Linked DNA regions of Caenorhabditis elegans. The protein of the gene in region 2 purifies or fractionates together with the protein of the main gene of each other region. This does not show direct contact. Each region holds a gene or a part of one and is shown on either strand. Other genes may lie near its edges.

Region 1 (10,625 bases), on a different chromosome or scaffold from region 2:
GGTACTGTAGCCCGTGTTTGCGTACTCTAGGAGCTACCGTAACCCGAAAATTTCAAAATTGAGCTAGAAACTCCAACTTTTTGTGTTTCTACCCAGAATTTTACGAGGAATCCGAATTTTGTAGTGAAAATTTAAAAATTCGTAGCATAAGGTGATTTTCTGGCTGAAAACTCAATTTTCTATAGTTCAAAATATACTTATGAAATTTTAATAGTGAAAATCGGATTCCCCGCTATGAATTTAGTCTACCACAAAATTTTCAGCTCAAAATCTCAAAATTCCGTCAAATCCGGTGTTTCTGGGGTACTGTCGTCGGTGTTTGCGTACTCTTGGAGCTACCGTAACTCTGAAAATTTCAAAATTACTCTAGAATCTCCAACTTTTTGCGTTCCGACCCAGAATTTGACAAGAAATCCGAATATTGTCATGAAATTCCTATAATTCGTTGCGTAAAATGATTTTCTAACTGAAAACCTATTTTTTCTAGTTTTCAAAATTTTTTGTGTAGAAATTCGAGCTCCCCATCATCTAATTAGTCTACCCCATAATTTTCAGCTCAAAATCTCAAAATTCCGTCAAATCCGGTGTTTCTGGGGTACTGTCGTCGGTGTTTGCGTACTCTTGGAGCTACCGTAACTCTGAAAATTTCAAAATTACTCTAGAATCTCCAACTTTTTGCGTTCCGACCCAGAATTTGACAAGAAATCCGAATATTGTCATGAAATTCCTATAATTCGTTGCGTAAAATGATTTTCTAACTGAAAACCTATTTTTTCTAGTTTTCAAAATTTTTTATGTAGAAATTCGAGCTCCCCGTCATCTAATTAGTCTACCCCATAATTTTCAGCTCAAAATCTCCAAATTCCGTCAAATCTGGTGTTTTGGGGTACTGTAGTCGGTGTTTGCGTACTCTCGGCGCTACCGTAACCCGAAAATTTCAAAATTGCGCTAGAAACTTCAACTTTTCGTTTTCTAGACCAGAATTTCACGGAGAATTCGAATTTCGGCTTCTTTTTCCAGGTTGGCGACTCATTTCTGATCGAAGACGCCGTAGGCTCCTCGGCTCTCAAACGAACCGTCGCCGCTGGCAATCAGATAATGTCGTTCGGAAGAGGGAGAAATCGTGGAAAATGGGTGAGGGTCGAGTGGTGGATTCATCGAATTTCAAGCTTTTCCCAAATGGATCCGTATTGATTCGGCATGCCAAGATTGCCGATTCTGGAACTTATCAGAAGGATCCTAATGTGGGGAATTTTTGTAAAAAAGTTTCGATTTTTTTAAAGAAAAAAAAATCGATTTTACTGGAAAATTGCTCAAAATTTTGGGAATTTTGACACGATTTTCAGAAAAATCGCAAATTTTTTAGCAAAATTTCCTACTTTTTTGGAGGAGAGGGGCATAATTATTTTTTTAAAAATACAATAAAAATTACAATTTTCAGCCAATGATCATAATAATAATGGAGAAATGGGATACGCGCCGCCAATTCTCATCATTCAAGTGCAAAATTAATGATAATTATCGATTTTTTGAGGGAAAAAACAATAAATTAATAAATAATTGAGCATTTTCATAGGGAAATTAGTTACACAGTAAAAATGATAAAAATGATAAAATTATACCCGATAATATAAGAGAATTGAGGGATTTTTTTGAACAAAATAGGGGGAAATGCTCCAGAAATTTCGATAAAATGAGCTATAAGAAATTGGAATTTTTTTTTCGAAAAATACCGATTTTTAAATATAATTTTTTGTTTAAAAAATTCGATTTTTTTAAAAATCGAATTTATTGAACAAAATGTAGTTTTTTTTTTAGAAATTTCAACTTTTTTCAAATATTTTTTTTGGTTTTTAAAAAATCGATAATTTTTCGGATTTTTTTAAATTTTTTTAAAACAATTTCATTTTTCATATGAAAAAAATACTGAATTTTTGTAAGAAAAAAATCGATAGTTTTATGCAAATTTTTGTGGCTTTTCGTTAATTTTCTTCTGGAACTCGTCAAATTTTTCATATTTTTCAGTAAAAAATCAGAAAATTTGCCCATTTTTTAAATAAAAACTACTGAACAACTGTTGAAAAATAGCAGATAAAAGTGGAAAAATTCCGAAAAATTTTTTCGGTGATTTTCAGCTTTCAGGCAATTTTTAGGCTTATTTTTAAGACAAAAAACACTTTTTTTGGGATTTTTAAACATTTTTAAAGCTCAAAAACGAAAATTTTTAATTTTTAATTCAAAATACACATTTTTTAGATTTTTCGAATTTTTAGGGAAAAAATAAATAAAAAACAAACTTTTTTGGAATTTTTAAAATTCGAAAAATAAAAATTTCGATTTTTAAAATTTTTAGAGACTAGAAACGAAATTTTTACGATGTTTCTAATTTTTGCAAATTAAAAACGAATTTTTTGAAATGAAAAACAAAAAATTTCGAATTTTTCAAAATGTTCAGGCCAACAGACTTTTTTTTTTTTAATTTTCAGAAATTAAAAACGATTTTTTTTGAAATTTTTTAAAGTCGAAATACGGAAATTTCGAATTTTTAAATTTTTAGAGATTAAAATCCAATTTTTTAGATTATTTTAGACCAAAAAATGTTAAAAATTGCTCATTTTGTAGCAGAATTTCTGGAGCAAGGCGAAAAAAAAAAGCAAAAATCAATTAATTTCGTCATCAGAATCAACTGGCTGCTCGGCGAGCTCTCCAGGCATCAATCCAACACCTCCACCAGCCAACCATTGCTCTTTTCGTCGTTCATCAAGTGCTGGAATCAATGCTTGAATCCGTGCCAGCTGGCTTTTGTGATTCTCCCGTTCTTGCTCTGTCACTGCTACGAAATTTCGATCGACTTCTCGCATTATTTGATTGACTCTGGAAAATTTTTGGATTTTTTAGGAGAAAAATTGATTAATATCCAAATTTCAGCGGTTTTTTAAACTAAAAATTAATTTTTTTTTTCAAAAATCGCCGGAGCTTTGAAAAAAAAACCTTTTAGCCAAAAATTAACCGATTTTTCACTTTTTTCGAGCGGTTTTTATGCGAAAAATGGTTTTTTTTCGGATTTTTCTCGCAATTTTACATATTTTTACGCGAAAAATCGGGTTTTCAATAGATTTTTTTCAAAAATTTTCATTAAAATTGCCCGAATTTTTGAGCTTAAGCTTCATTTTTCAGGTTTCTAGCAAATAAAAATGCAAATTTTTGGGGAAAAAATACACATTTTAAGGCTAAAAACCCAATTTTGCTGTCAAAAAATGGCGATTTTTTACTATTTTTAGTGAAAAATTGTTTTTGTTGTCAATTTTTACCACTAAAAACGGTATTTTTTTTCCACTTAAAAACGATTTTTATGTCATTTTCGTTAGTTTTTCTCTGAAAAAATCCAAAATTTGGCTCAAAAATTGTATTTTTCCTGTTTTTTTTTGTGTTTTGAGTCAAATTTTTGCCATTTTTCGACAATTTCCAGCGATTTTCATTGAAAATGTGCAATTTTCCGGTGCTCTTCACTACCTCGTAACCGTCTTTTCGAGCTTTTCCAAATCCTCTGGACGAGCATCACGATGAGCCCACGAGTCCTCTTCGATTCCGATAAGTTTCCGAAGAAACTCGCGTAGAATCTCGTCGGATTTGCCTGAAACTAGTGCAAAATTGCTGAATTTTTCTATCGGAAATTGAGATTTTCGGATCTTAAATCTGAAATTCGAGTTCTCCGTGAAATTCTGCTATAGCACACGAAAAGTTGGAGTTTCTAGCGCAATTTTGAAATTTCCAGGGTTACTGTAGCCCCAAGAGTACGCAAACACGGAACACCAGATTTAACGGAATTTTGAGATTTTGAGCTGAAATTTTTGTGTTAGACTAATTCGATGACGGGGAGCTCGAATTTTTACACAAAAATTTTGGCAAAAATTTTGAAAACTAGAAAATCACTTTACGCAACGAATTTTAGGAATTTTACAGCGAAATTCGGATTTCCTGTCAAATTCCGCTCTAAAAGAAGAACATTTGGAGTTTCTAGCGCAATTTTGAAATTTCCAGGGTTACTGTAGCCCCAAGAGTACGCAAACACGGGCTACAGTACCCCAAAACACCAGATTTAACGGAATTTTGAGATTTTGAGCTGAAATTTTTGTGTTAGACTAATTCGATGACGGGGAGCTCGAATTTTTACACAAAAATTTTGGCAAAAATTTTGAAAACTAGAAAATCACTTTACGCAACGAATTTTAGGAATTTTACAGCGAAATTCGGATTTCCTGTCAAATTCCGCTCTAAAAGAAGAACATTTGGAGTTTCTAGCGCAATTTTGAAATTTCCAGGGTTACTGTAGCCCCGAGAGTACGCAAACACGGGCTACAGTAACCCAAAACACCGAATTTGACGGGATTTTGAGATTTTTAGCAGAAACTTATAGGGTAGACTAATACGATGACGGGGAATTCGAATTTTTACACAAAAACTCCCAAAATTTTCGATTTCTCGAGATCTTCGCCGTACCCTGAGCATGGAGCCCGAAATTAATGGCGGCCAGTGCAATCTGTGACGGTGGATAGAGGAGAAGCACGTCGGTTTGTAGTGCATTCTGGAAGAATCTCATAGAATCGCGGCGGATTGATTCGAGATCGAAATTTAGAAGAAGCATTCGGGTCTTCATATCCATTAGATGGCCTTCGTATGGCCTGAAAAATGGCGATTTTTAGGCTTTTCTAGTCTGAAAAATAAGATTTTTTTGGTTTTTGATCGGCTGAAAATTTGGATTTTTTCCGGGTTTTCGGCTTAAAAATGAAATTTTTTCGGGCTTTTTTCAGCTGAAAAATGGAAATTTTTTTTTAGGTTTTTTGCCTGAAAAATGAGATTTATAGGCTTTTCTAGTCTGAAAATTGTCATTTTTAGGGTTGTTTTAAGCTGGAAAATGTGATTTTTTTGGCTTTTTCGTATGCAAATTGAGATTTTTCACATTTTCTAGTGGAAATCTACGAAATTTTCAGATTTTTCTCAAAAATTGAACCAAGATCGAGGTTTTCTGGGGTATTTTGTAAGAAAAAAAAGGATTTTATAGCGCATTTTCAGCTCTAAATTCTTATTTTTATGAAATTGAATTTTTTCGGACAAAAATTGGATTTTTAAGCAATTTTGAGGTCTCGGAGCCGGAAAAATGCCAATTTTCTCCGTTTTTCGTGAAATTTTCGAATTTTTCCAGTATTTTCAGCGGAAATTGCTGGAAAATCCCGATTTTCCGTACCTATACGGGCAATGTACAGTCAAATTATAGTCGAGAATCTTCATAAGCTCCGGCTCCAGCTTCAAAATCCGTTCGGCATTTTGTCGAGGTTCTCCAACGCTGTAACTTCTGATAATGAGTAGCTGCCAGCGGCGATTATCAGGACTTACTTCATATTCTTCACGAAATCTTCGATTGTAATGTAGAATTCGTCGATTTTCATTGCCAAGTAGAAGCAAGCCATCATTACCATCTGAAATTAAGATTTTTAATGGAAAATTGATGGAAAATGTTGGAAATTCGGGGAATTTTGGGCAAAAATCGGCAGAAAATTGAGTTTTCTCAGTTTAAAAATCAAAATTTTAGCGATTTTTGAGTGAAAATGAGTTGAAATCCAAGTTTTTGCGTTAAAAAAATCAAAATTTTGCCGATTTTTGCGTTTAAAACAAAATATTTGGCAATTTTTACACAAAATTGAGTCGAAAAATAGGTTTTTGCGTTTAAAAGCCGAAAATTAGTCAATTTTACACCAAAAATCGCAGAATTTTTTCGTTTAAAACTAAAAAAAATTCGGAAGTTTGTATGAAAAAATTGAATTTTTGACAATTTTTGGGCAAAAATGGCCCGAAAAATAGGTTTTTTCGTTTAAAAATCAAAAATTCGGCGATTTTGACTAATTTTCAGCTAAAAATTCAATTTTTACCCTAATCGACGTGTCTGATGGCACCCAGACAAGAAAAGCCCGCTTGAAAAACGCCAAGGCTGTCCATTTCACTGATGGCCATATGTGTGGGCGGAATTTGTCGGCGAATCTGGAAAAATTTTGGTATTTGAGTGGGAAAATTGAAAATTTCAGGTTTTTTCGTGTGAAAATCGTTTTCTTTTGGGGTTTTCTCGACTAAAAAACTAAAAAAAAAATTTTTTTCAGAAAAAATAGCCAAAATTGTGAATTTTCTGCATTTTTTCTGAACTTCTATCGGAAAAATGGCAAAAATTCCGATTTTCTCAATTTTTCATAGAAAATAACCGAAATTCACAATTTTTGGTGCAAAAAATGCAGAAAATTGAGAAAAAATCGCATTTTTCCACATTTTCCGGTACAAAATTGTTTTTTTCATGGTTTTTTCGGATTTTTTATGCTAAAAATCCAATTTTAGCCGGAATTTTCGCGTTTTTCATGAAATTTTGACGGGAATTCTCCGATTTTTCGGTGAAATCCAGCAAATTCTAACTTCAAAGCAGCATCCTCAATTGATCTTTGCATTCTGAGCTCCTCTTCAGGTGTCACAAAGAGCTCCAACTCGTCCGGCTGCATTACTGACTCGTATTTTTGACGGAATTTTATGTTTATCTGCAAAAAAATTGGGCATTTTTAATTTTTTGAGGAAAAATTCAGGTTTTTTCAGTTTTTTTTTTAGGAAAAAGCGAAAAAAAATCCATTTTTCCGGAAAAAAAACGGTGGAATTCTCAGATTTTTCAGTAAAATTACAGGAATTTCTACTTTTTTTCAATTTTTCTCAGAAAAAAAAAACAAAAAAATAAATTTTTCCGGAAAAAACGTTGAAATTTCTAACTTTTCCTGAATTTTTCAGAGAAAATGAAATAAATGCTCAATTTTTCGAATTTTTAAATAAAAAATGCCGAAATTCTTAATTTTTCCAATAAAAATGACTAAATTTTCAACTTTTTCCGAATTTTTTAAATAAAAAATGCCGAAATTGTTAATTTTCCGTGTTTTAAGTGAAAATTTTGCTGTTTTTAGCCTATTTTCCATAAAAAATTCCAATTTTTCTACCTCCAAACGCATTGCGGCCAACTTTTCCGGTGTATACGTCCATTCCCGTTTTTGTGTGCTCGTCGCGTACATTTCTGAATTTTTGCCATTTTTTTGGCTGAAATTTTCGGTAAAAAAAAAGGTAATTCTGGGTGAAAACCAGTGAAAATTAGTGAAAAATGGGCAAAAAATCGACAAAATAACAAAAAAACGAGTCTATAACAAGAAAATTCCAACAAAAACCAGAAAAAAAATGTGAAAATTCAAAAAATTAACAAAAAAAAATTATTTCTTCTTATTCTTCATTTTTGATTCTCTCTGTTGCTTGTGAGATTTGCGATTTCCGAATTTTTGGAATGCTCCACGTCGTTTAGATTGCTCTTTTTGGCGAATTTCAGCGTATCTGGAAGGAAAATATGGAAAAATTGGAGCTTTTTGATATAAAAATCGATTTTTTCGGAGGAAAAATGTGATTTTTGAGCTATTTTCACACAATTTAACCGTTTGTTTTGCTCAAAATCCGAAAAAATTGAGTTTTTTTTTATTGAAAAATCGATTTTTGGGGGGAAAACCTGTGCTTTTTTCAGAGATTTTAGCGGATTTTTCAGGAAAAAATACTGAAATTCTCAAAATTTTCGATTATTTTCCGGAAAAAAACGTTGAAATTATCGTTTTTTTGGTCAAAAATCGTGTTTTCAGTTAAAAGTTTGCGGTTTTTCGCCATTTTTGGACAAAATTCGGCGAAATTTTCTGAAAATTCGGCTTTTTTTTGCTCCTAAAATCAAATTTTTCGGTAAAAATCTTGGAAAATGTTTTTTTTATTAAAAAAAAACCATATTGTAACGAAAATTCACCATTTTCCATCAATTTTAGCCAATTTTGAGCTCCAAAATCATAATTTTACGTTAAAAAACGTAAAAAACTGTCCATTTCCGGGTTTTTTCGACGAAATTTCGTCGTTTCAAGTGAAAATCGATCAATTTTCAGCATTTTTTTGGGGTTTTCGAGTCCAAAATCATAATTTTACGTTAAAAAAACGCAAAAACTGCAGATTTACAGGATTTTCGGCAAAAATTCGGCGTTTTGAGTGAAAATCGGTCAATTTCTACCGTTTTTAGCGAGTTTTTGCATTAAAAATATCAATTTCCAGGATTTTTGGCAAAATTTCGCCGTTTTGGGTGAAAATCGGCCAATTTTTATCCTTTTTAGCTCATTTTTGCTCTAAAAATCACGATTTTAACGTTAAAAACGCAAAAACTTGAATTTTTTCACAAAAATTCTTGATTTTCCCGTACTTTTTCTTGGCTTTGCTCAACGATTCCTCATTATGCAAAATCTCGTCGACCATCGTCTTTTTTCGCTCTTTTCGCACCATTCTACTCGAATAAAAGTCTTCTGGAGCGTCAACGACTCGTCCAACCTGAAAAATCTCGGATTTTTTGGGAATTTTTTAAATTTTCTCGAACTTGGAAGTATTTCGGCAGTACAGCCCGGTCATTTCGACGATAATGAGCCAATGGATCGAGAGTTGATCTCATTTGAAGGAATTCCAAATCTCGTTTGTGCTCATCGGTGAGCTCCGTCGCTGGAAGGTTGAACCAAGCGGATCCTTTGGTTTTTTCGCGTTCTGACTGGAAAAATAGCGATTTTTATTGGATTTTGAGCGATTTTAATCGAATTTTCATCGATTTCAACGCACTTTCTTCAGCCTGGCGGCCGCATTCCGGCCTAAAAGCCTATTTTGAGGCTGATGATCGCCTTCAAACTTCGGCCCGACAACTGACTTTTCCAGAAGCTCCTGCAAGTCCTTATCCATCTCATATGGCTCCAAATAGGATGTTCCGAGCAGGTCAACTGCCTCAAAAGCTCCTTCTTTTGGCGCTTCTTCACGTACGGCTCTGTCAACGACGAAATCATCGAATTCCTCGGCGACAGGCTTCTGAAAATCGATTTTTTTGGTGCTTTTCTGGGAAATTTTCGGTTTTTTTCGCTAAAAATTTGCAAAAATCGCCGTTTTTTGTGATTACTTGTTGCTTTTGCTTCTTTTTTGGAATTTCCTCGTCGGAATCCGAATCTTCGCTGCTTGAAACGTCGGGATTCTGCTGTTTTCGTAGCTTTTTGAAGTAGAGCGCAGACATTTTGAGCTGAAAATCATTCAATTTCAATTTTTATTCGAAAAAACTGGCGAAAAAGAGCGAAAACCGACGAAAACCCGGTGAAAACCTTCGAAATAAATAAATTAAATTAACCATATTCGCAATGGAGCGCGGATGCAACTCGTGGCCTAGAAAACTCCAACTCGGCCCCGAAGAGGAAAAACTCCAAATTTTCAAGATTTTCTCGGGAAATTGATGGGTTTTCGGGTTTTTTTGAGGGAATTTCGAGCAGAATCGATGCTTTTTAAGCTCCAAGCTTCAGAAATTGCGAAAAATCGGCAAATTTCAGCCAAATTCCAGCTTCAATGACAAAAAACTTTATAGAAAAGCTTCTAATTATATCGTTCATTATCATCTTTGACGTCTTTAGGGAACACTTTTTTCCAGCATTTTCCGCCGAAAATCCGATAGACCACACACTCTGCGTCTCCACGGCGTTACGTTATCTCTCGCATGCGAACCAACTTTTTCACCGATTTACCGGTCGTTGGCGATTTTCGGCGGCTTTAAAATGCGCAACGCAGGCGGTGATAAGCCATTCTCCACACCCGTTTTGCTTCGCGAAATGGGCTTGAAGACGCACGTTGATGATGATCCGAAGACTAAGGTGAGCGGTCTATTTCGAGTAGGCCTAATAGGCTTTCTAGGCCGTATAGGCTTGCCTTGTAGGTCCTCTAGGCGCCTGCCTTGTGGGTCTTCTAGGCCTTCTAGGCGCCTGCCTTGTAGGCTTTCTTGGCGCCTACCTTGTAAGCTTTCTAGGCCATCTGGGCGCCTGCCTTGTAGGCTTTTTAGGCGCCTGTTTTGTAGGCCTTGTAGGCCTTCTAGGTGCCTGCCTTGTAGGCGCTCTAGGCCTTCTAGGTGCCTATCCTTTAGGCCTTCTAGGCGCCTACCCTTTAGGCCTTCTAGACGACTGCTTTGGAGGCTTTCTAGGCCATTTAGGCGCCTACCTTAGAGGCCTTCTAGGCGCCTGCCTTGTAGGCTTTCTAGGCCTTCTAAGCTTATAAAAACTAAAAATCCATATCATTTCCAGGCCTACCGCCTTATCGGCTACGCCGCCGTCACCTTCTCCACAGTCTCGGTGATCTGTTTCTGTGTCACAATGCCAGTTGTCTTCACCTACGTCCAATCGGTAAAACGTCAGATGTCCCATGAGATGGCCACGTGCAACGTCAATGCTCGTCAGATTTTCGATGACGTTGCTGCTCTGCGAGCCGGCTTCCCATTCGCACAGGCAGGCAACCGTACCGCCCGTCAAGCTGGATACGATGTGCATCCGAGCAAGCCAACGCCTGTCGGATATAGTGGTGGAGATGCGGCTGCGGCGGAGGTGAAGGGAAATAGCCCGGCGGCCGCCTACGAGGATAAGCCGTTTGTTGCTGTTGGAGTTGAAGGTGAGGTTTAAGCCGTGTAGGCCTTGTAGGCGTTGTAGGCGCCTGCCTTCTAGGCCCTGTAGGCTTTGTAGGCTGCTTCG
Region 2 (7,838 bases):
CATTGAATTATTTTATTTTCGTGCATATTTTGGTGAATATCACGCGGTTTTTCGTTCATAGGCATCAAAATTTACAACAAAAAAAAACATCCAAATTACGACAATAATGAATTTAAATAAATTTCACACTGAAAAATTGGTAAAATTTGAGATTTTAGCTGAATTTATAGTCTAAAGTATTACAGGAACACACAAAATTCAAAAAAAATCCATATTGCACAACATATTTGACGCGCAAAATATAACTATATCTCGTAGCGAAAACTACAGTAACCCTTTAAATGACACACTGTAGCGTTTGTGTCGATTTACGGCATCTCTTTGATTTTTTTGAGATTAATAATTTTAGTTTTTTGTACTATTTTCTCTTATTTTTTTAAAAAATATTCTATTGATAAATAAATTTTTTTTTAAATTTCAAAAAGCCCGTAAATCGACACAAACGGCTACAGTAGTCATTTAATAGATTACTGTAGTTTTCTTTTCGCTACGAGATATTTTGCGCGTCGGATATGTTGCGCAATACGCATTTTTCAGGATGTAGTGATTTTCCGAATCAAAGATGTCGGGTTTTCGATTTTTCAAAATAGTTGAAAAGCGGAAATTTTTTGATTTTTCAAAAATTGCTTGAAATTTTAGGCATTGTTCTTATTTTTTAGAATAAATATTTATTATTTTTCTCATCAAAGAACAAAATTAGATTTTTGAAAAAAATCATATTTTATAGTTTCTGAACTTTTTTTTTCGATTTTTCAGAAAATCAAAAAATCTAAAATTTATCGTTTTTCGATTTCAAATTTTTCGATTTTTTCTCAAAAACATCGAAAAAATCGAAAAACAAAAATTTTCGATATTTGGAAAAAAAAATCTAAAAATTTTCGTTTTTCGGTTTTTAAAAATTCGAAAATTTTCGTTTTTCGGTTTTTAAAAATTCGAAAATTTTCGTTTTTCGATTTCAAATTTTTCGATTTTTCTCAAAAACATCGAAAAACAAAAATTTTCGATTTTTGGAAAAAAAAAATCTAAAAATTTTCCTTTTTCGATTTCCAATTTTTCGATTTTCACGTGGTGGCAGGCTGTCCAATTACGGTTTGATCTACAAAAAATGCGGGAATTTTTTGCCCAAAAAATGTGACGTAAGCACACGTTGTTAACCATGCGAAATCGGTTGAGAACTCTGCCGCATTTTTTGTAGATCTACGTAGACCAAACCGAAATGAGGCACTCTGACCAAGGGTGTCGGTTTTTCGATTTTTCAAAAAATTGAAATCGAAAAATCGAAAATTCTCGATTTTTCAAAAAATTGAAAAATCGAAAATTCCCGATTATTCAAAAAATCGAAAAATAGAAAATTCTCGATTTTTCAAAAAATTGAAAAATCGAAAATTCCCGATTTTTCAAAAAATTGAAAATCGAAAATTCCCGATTATTCAAAAATCGAAAAATCGAAAATTCTCGATTTTTCAAAAATTAGCTCGAAATTTTCTTCATTTTTTGAAAAAATTTTAATTTTTTTCTCATCAATTATTTTTTATGGTTAATTTTTCGATTTTTCAGAAAATCTAAAAGTCGAAAATTTTTCAATTTTTTTCAGATTTTCCTCTAAAATTCTTCATTATTTTTCCACTCCTTCCACTCCAACCTTGGTCGCATCGGCTCCCGACGGTGCTGGATCCTTCGCCTCTCTAGTAAACCTGACAAGCTGTTTATCCTGAATCGTGCTCCAAAGCTTAAACTGAGCCCTCCACTGTTCGACAGAAACATTGGAATTCGCCAACACTAAACATCTCTTGTTAACCGTCGTCACAGCAGTCACTCCGACAAGCGTCTTTCCGGCTCCACACGGCAGAACAATCACACCACTTCTCGCACGACTATTTCCAAACATTTTCCGTAGGGATTTCTCCTGGTACGGACGAAGTGTAGTCGATGGTTTCAGATCAATTCCAAGGTTCGGATTCAAAGTGTCATTTCTGAAGTCGTACTCGGCGAGCAGTGGATACTCAAGCTCGATACATCGTTTTTGCACTGTTTCGATCGTTTCTTGTTTGATCTCAAACGTTAGAAGTTGCAAATTTCGAATCTCTGCGTCTTCCTCATCATCTCCATCGATTTTCCCGTAGAATTCATCAATATCAGCTGGAACTTTTCCATCTGTCGCCGCCGCCGCCGTACCGTCTGCTGCTGCTCCATCCTTTTCCACACCCTTCTCATTCTCATTTCCATGTGAGAATTTGATTTTTTCCTGTGCAGGAAGCTCGGTTTGCTGAGCAGGTTGCACACGATCATCTAGAATACACGACTGGATCACAGAGTCCTTGAGAAGCTTCTGCATAACATCGGAATGTCGCGATTCGACAAAGTATCTGTTATGCTTGAGCACAAGCTTAACCTTTCCGTAGCTCACAGTGCACATTTGAACGAATGTGATGACTCCTTTTGGCAGTTGACTTTTACTTAATCGTTCCAGGTATTCAATGATATCTTTTGTTTGTAGGCCAACTGATACAGCTGCGTAGAGAGAATAGGCAGTTAGCTGGTATTCGTGGATGTGTTGTGGACGGCAGACGGGCTGAAAATTGGAATATGTAGCAGGGATGGGTGGCGATTGCAGTTCGGCAAATTTTTTTCTCGATAAATTCTGCAATTTGCCGGACTTTTTAAATCCGGCACTTTGACGATTTGCCGGAAATGTCAAATTCGGCAAATCAGCTATTTACAAGACACGTTCAATTCCGGCAATTTGCCGATTTGCCGGAATTTTAAACTCCGGCAATTTGTCAATTTGCCGGAAACTTTCAATTCCGGCAATTTGCCGATTTGCCAAAAAATTTCAATTCCACCAATTTGCAGATTTGCCGGAAAATTTCAATTCCACCAATTTGTCGATTTGCCGGAAACTTTCAATTCTGGCAATTTGCAGATTTGCCGGAAAATTTCAAATCCGGCAATTTGCCGATTTGCCGGAATTTTAAACTCCGGCAATTTGTCGATTTGCCGGAAACTTTCAATTCTGGCAATTTGCAGATTTGCCGGAAACTTTCAATACCGGCAATTTGCCGATTTGCCGGAAATTTTCAATTCCGGCAAGTTGCCGATTTGCCGGAAAATTTAAATCCCGACACTTTGACGATTTGTCGGAAATTTTCAATTCTGGCAATATGTGTAAGAGATAATCGAAAAATTGAAAAATCAGAATTTCGATTTTTTTTTTTTGGAAAAATTTAATATTTGTTAATTTTAGGCTCAAATTTTCAGTCATTTTCCATGAAAAAAAAGTGCTGAACCTCTAAAATTGACCTGAAAAGCACTAATTTGGAATTTTTTACGGAAAAAAAAATTAAAAAATCAAAAAAAAATTGGCCAAACATAATTTTTACAAATAAATCTTTTCAGATGAATCAAATTTTTTTAAATGAATTTTTTTCAGAATTAACTGAAAAAAGACGTTAATAACCTCTGAAATTGCAATTAAAAAGTCCCTGGCGTGCTTGTAAACCGGGCTGAACGACTCGAGGAAAATATGACCATCCGGAGCAACCCACAGCGGTCTTGCAGTGAAATCACCCTGAAAATTGTGAATTTTCAATTAAAATTTGCCAATTTGGGTTGAAAAACTCGAAAAAAAGTGTTTTTTAACGATTTTTTGACCGAAAAAAACAAAAAAAAATAGCAAAAATTCGTAACTTTTTACATTTTTCAGACCGAAATTATTTTAGAATAAAGTAATTTTTACGATTTTCCCTGGAAATTAACCAAATTTTCGATATTTCGGGGGAAAAATCGTTAATTTACTGAAAATTGGGTGAAAAAATCATGAAAATTAGGGTTTTTTTGCCAAAAAATTGTAAAAATTGCCATTTTTCTGGGTTTTTCAAGCTTGTCAGACCATTTTTTCGAATTTTTAGAGCTTCTCCATACTTTCAATGGCATATCCTTTCGATAATCTTTGGCTCCAAACTCATCAGTCATCACTGACGACGCATTTTCTCCGTTCAAATTGTGCGAGGCAGCTTTTGGAACTAAAAATTTAATTTTTTAATTCGAAAATTTCCAGGAAAAGAGCCCCGCGTTACCAGAACTAGTTTCCTTGTCAGCATTTCCAGAATACAATGATGGAGCTTCTTCTGCTTTGTAGGTATCCCATTTTCCGCGTCGTTTTCGCTCTTTCGTCGCCATTTCTTTTGGAAAATTGAAAATTCGTCTAAAATACGAAAAAAAAGGAAGAAAACCGGGGGAGAAAAAGTACGCAAATACAGCGAAATTCACGACAATATGCAGACACAGGAGAGGAGCCAGAGGGGAGACATATAAATTTATAAAACAGCTAGTTCTTTTCACTAGACTTTCATAATAAAACAAAAAACAAAAAAAAAAACGAATATTTATAAATAAACATTTAATTCGATCCATATTGGGCGGCGGTGATCACGTGTACGTTGGGCGGCAGATTTTTGGGAAATTGAATGACGTTCGTTTCTTCGAAATAGACATTTCCTTCGCAGGCCACGGTGCGGCGAGACTCGATTTTTATAGTTTCGTGGACTGTTTCGACGGCTGAAATGGCTGAAATTAACAAAAAAATTGTTCATAATTATTAGAACGCGATCTCTCGCGGCACCTCACGAACTCCAGAATTCGCGGGAACTCGTTTCGCGGGGACAGCAGTTTTTGGCTTCTATAGGAAATTATTTTTATTTTTTTGTTTTATAATATTCTTGAGAAGCATCATCCGAATTTAAAATGTGTGAAATTATGAAATTTGACCGAAAACTGAAGGTTTTACAGGAAGGATTCGCTACGGCTTTCTTTAAAATGTATCAGAATCGTCAGTTTTTCGATTTCAGTCGTAAAATATGCCATTTTGTAGAGAAAAGTCTGTTTCACAAAAATCCATGTTTGACATTTCAAAATTGTTTTTATTTAAAACCTGAAAAATCGAAAAAATAAGCTTTTAAAGGTGGAGTAGCGCCAGTGGGGAAATTGCTTTAAAACACGCATATGGTACCACAATGACCGAATATCATGATAAAAATTTTTTCTAGATTTTATATGATTTTTTGAAAATTGAAAAAATCTCAGTTTTGCCTAATTCCTATTTGAATTACCGCCAATTGGATTTGTTCGATGGAGCGCGCTTGCACGTTTTTATTTTTATTTATTGTTATTTTTTCTTATTTTTCACCGACTTTTCATGTTTTCAGTGTATTTTTGTCTGAAATTTGAAGAAAAAGTCAAAATAAATGCTAATTTTCGATTAAACAGCACGCTTACAGGCGTTAAATTAAAAAAATGCATTTAAGCGATTTCGAACCCGAATTAATTAATTTCAAAAAATAGCATTTATTTTGACTTTTTCTTCAAATTTCAGACAAAAATACACTGAAAACATGAAAAGTCGGTGAAAAATAAGAAAAAATAACAATAAATAAAAATAAAAACGTGCAAGCGCGCTCCATCGAACAAATCCAATTGGCGGTAATTCAAATAGGAATTAGGCAAAACTGAGATTTTTTCAATTTTCAAAAAATCATATAAAATCTAGAAAAAATTTTTATCATGATATTCGGTCATTGTGGTACCATATGCGTGTTTTAAAGCAATTTCCCCACTGGCGCTACTCCACCTTTAAAAGCTTATTTTTTCGATTTTTCAGGTTTTAAATAAAAACAATTTTGAAATGTCAAACATGGATTTTTGTGAAACAGACTTTTCTCTACAAAATGGCATATTTTACGACTGAAATCGAAAAACTGACGATTCTGATACATTTTAAAGAAAGCCGTAGCGAATCCTTCCTGTAAAACCTTCAGTTTTCGGTCAAATTTCATAATTTCACACATTTTAAATTCGGATGATGCTTCTCAAGAATATTATAAAACAAAAAATCAAAAATAATTTCCTATAGAAGCCAAAAACAGCCAAAAACTGCTGTCCCCGCGAAACGAATTCCCGCGAATTTTGGAGTTCGTGAGGTGCCGCATACATCTGTAATCCCTGCGAGTTTCGTTTCTTCGATGGTGTTCCTTCAATGGACGTCGGTGGTTTTCTCGTCTCTTATCACGCCATTGATGCTCCGATCTCAAAGTGCCATTACTTTCAGATTTGGCGGGAGACTTCAGTTGCTCCATATCTCTCGACAATCCACGTGACGATGAGAAATCTTGAGTTGCGTAGGAATAGGCTCCATAATACGAGTCACGGGCCGCTTGATTAGCTTTTTTCACATCTTTTTGGTCTTCCGAGTCGGAGGACGGCTTGTCTGAAAAATGAAATAAAAAGATTTAAAAAAATAAATTTTTAGCTTCAAATAAATACCGTCAAAAAAGGATCCAGCTCCTTTACCGAACATTTCAAATGGCTCAGTTTCTTGTGTGCTCGGCGCTGGCCAAGGATTCGGTGCACGGCTCGTTTCTAAATTTCTTCCAAATAATTCTTCTACGGCGATTGAAGTCATTTTTTATTGAAAAACGCGTTTTAAAGTGAGAAATGCGTGGATTTGCGCATGAAAAAATTTTAAAACACACAAAAAAAAATTTGAATGACAAAAAATGTCGTGGCGAGACCCACCGCGCTACCGTACCCGATTCTCTGCGTCTCTCTCGATGTGTGTGCTGAAGAGCGGTCTCTCGGAAAACAAAATTTAATTTGTTTTGTTTTTATTTTATTTTGAAGTCGAAAATTTCCGTTTTCCCTATTGTTCAGTGTATTTTTTTCGGAGAAAATCAATAATTTGTCAGATAAATTGCATTTTCCATCATTTTCGCGCGAAAAAAACCGTCCAGTAACACATTTTCCGATGAATTTAGGCCCGAATCCCTGTTTTCTGGTTTTTTCTCAATTTTTGTTCGATTTTTCAGTGTTTTTTGCGCAAATAATCAATAATTTGCCGAATAAAGTGTATTTTCATTTGTCGCATAAAAAACACATTTTCTCGATTTTTTGGCAAAAATTCAGATACATTGCTAAATAAAATGTATTTTCCATGATTTTTCTCAGAAAATTCGTTCAAATGCGCCACAGACAACTTTTTGGCGCGCGCGCGCTTTTCAAAACCCGTTTTCCCTCATTTAAATGCATTTTAACCTCAATTTCTTCCAGAATGCCTCCGAAAAAAGCGCAAACTCGACGAATCGTCAGTCTGGATTCACTTTTTGGCCATACTCTACTGAATATCACCGGCGAACCTGTGACACCAACGAAAATCGCCATTTTTCAACTAATTCGCACACTTTTTCACGCACATTTCGGAGTTGGCGCGGTGCCAAGCCTGAAGCCTTTCGATAAGGATGAGAAAACTCGGTTTTTTGGAATAAAAATGTTGAAAATGAAAAATAAAATTTGGTTTTTCAGAGTATTCACAGTTCTCTATGGCTTAATCATCATGAAATCTGAAATTTCCTACGACGATTTTCGCTGTATCGTGAGAATTTTGAACGATGGGCTCGGGCGATCCATTTATTATCGATTTGTTACAAGGTTTTCTAGAATAATTTTTCAAAATTCCGAGTTTTTTCAACACAAAAAACGTGATTTTCGTAATTTTCAGCATGGAAAAGCTCGCGCACGGTGAAGATCAAATAGAAATGCTCTTTGAAGACGCATTCTACACTGCAAAACGTCCAAATCACGAGAAAGTGCTAAAACGTGAAGATTCTTGGCTCGACGAGCTCACTTTTATGAATAGCAACTCGTTTTTGTATATTTGGATAAAACGCGTCATGATGCAGTACACAAGAACCTCGCAGAATGGAACTTTTGAGATTGCAGAGAAATTCCAAAAATGGATTATTTCAGGAACTTTAGAGATTATGTATGAATTTTCACTGAAAAATTGC

What was found.
Region 1: the proteins of xpb-1 (region 2) and cyh-1 fractionate together in Caenorhabditis elegans (co-fractionation; one large-scale study listed by BioGRID). This does not show direct contact.

What each region holds. Positions count from the first base shown.
Region 1 is NC_003280.10:3,501,485-3,512,109, reverse strand, and holds cyh-1 (Cyclin-H), read right to left. Parts: upstream 7,092-10,625; coding exon 7,020-7,091; intron 6,576-7,019; coding exon 6,457-6,575; intron 6,037-6,456; coding exon 5,928-6,036; intron 5,478-5,927; coding exon 5,395-5,477; intron 5,354-5,394; coding exon 5,246-5,353; intron 4,683-5,245; coding exon 4,501-4,682; intron 3,641-4,500; coding exon 3,514-3,640; intron 2,875-3,513; coding exon 2,661-2,874; 3' UTR 1,565-2,660; downstream 1-1,564. Other genes in the region: Y49F6B.19 (TransThyretin-Related family domain), read left to right, coding at 1,021-1,134, 1,442-1,564; Y49F6B.2 (Fcf2 pre-rRNA processing C-terminal domain-containing protein), read right to left, coding at 7,284-7,401, 8,294-8,418, 8,465-8,629, 8,698-8,937, 9,026-9,136; col-71 (Cuticle collagen 71), read left to right, coding at 9,666-9,761, 10,185-10,545.
Region 2 is NC_003281.10:11,523,023-11,530,860, reverse strand, and holds the start of xpb-1 (General transcription and DNA repair factor IIH helicase/translocase subunit XPB), read right to left. Parts: upstream 4,205-7,838; 5' UTR 4,180-4,204; coding exon 4,077-4,179; intron 4,023-4,076; coding exon 3,922-4,022; intron 3,569-3,921; coding exon 3,458-3,568; intron 2,573-3,457; coding exon 1,643-2,572; intron 1-1,642. Other genes in the region: Y66D12A.16 (Spen family transcriptional repressor), read right to left, coding at 4,400-4,566, 5,987-6,262, 6,319-6,457; such-1 (Suppressor of spindle checkpoint defect 1), read left to right, coding at 7,103-7,302, 7,354-7,479, 7,550-7,813.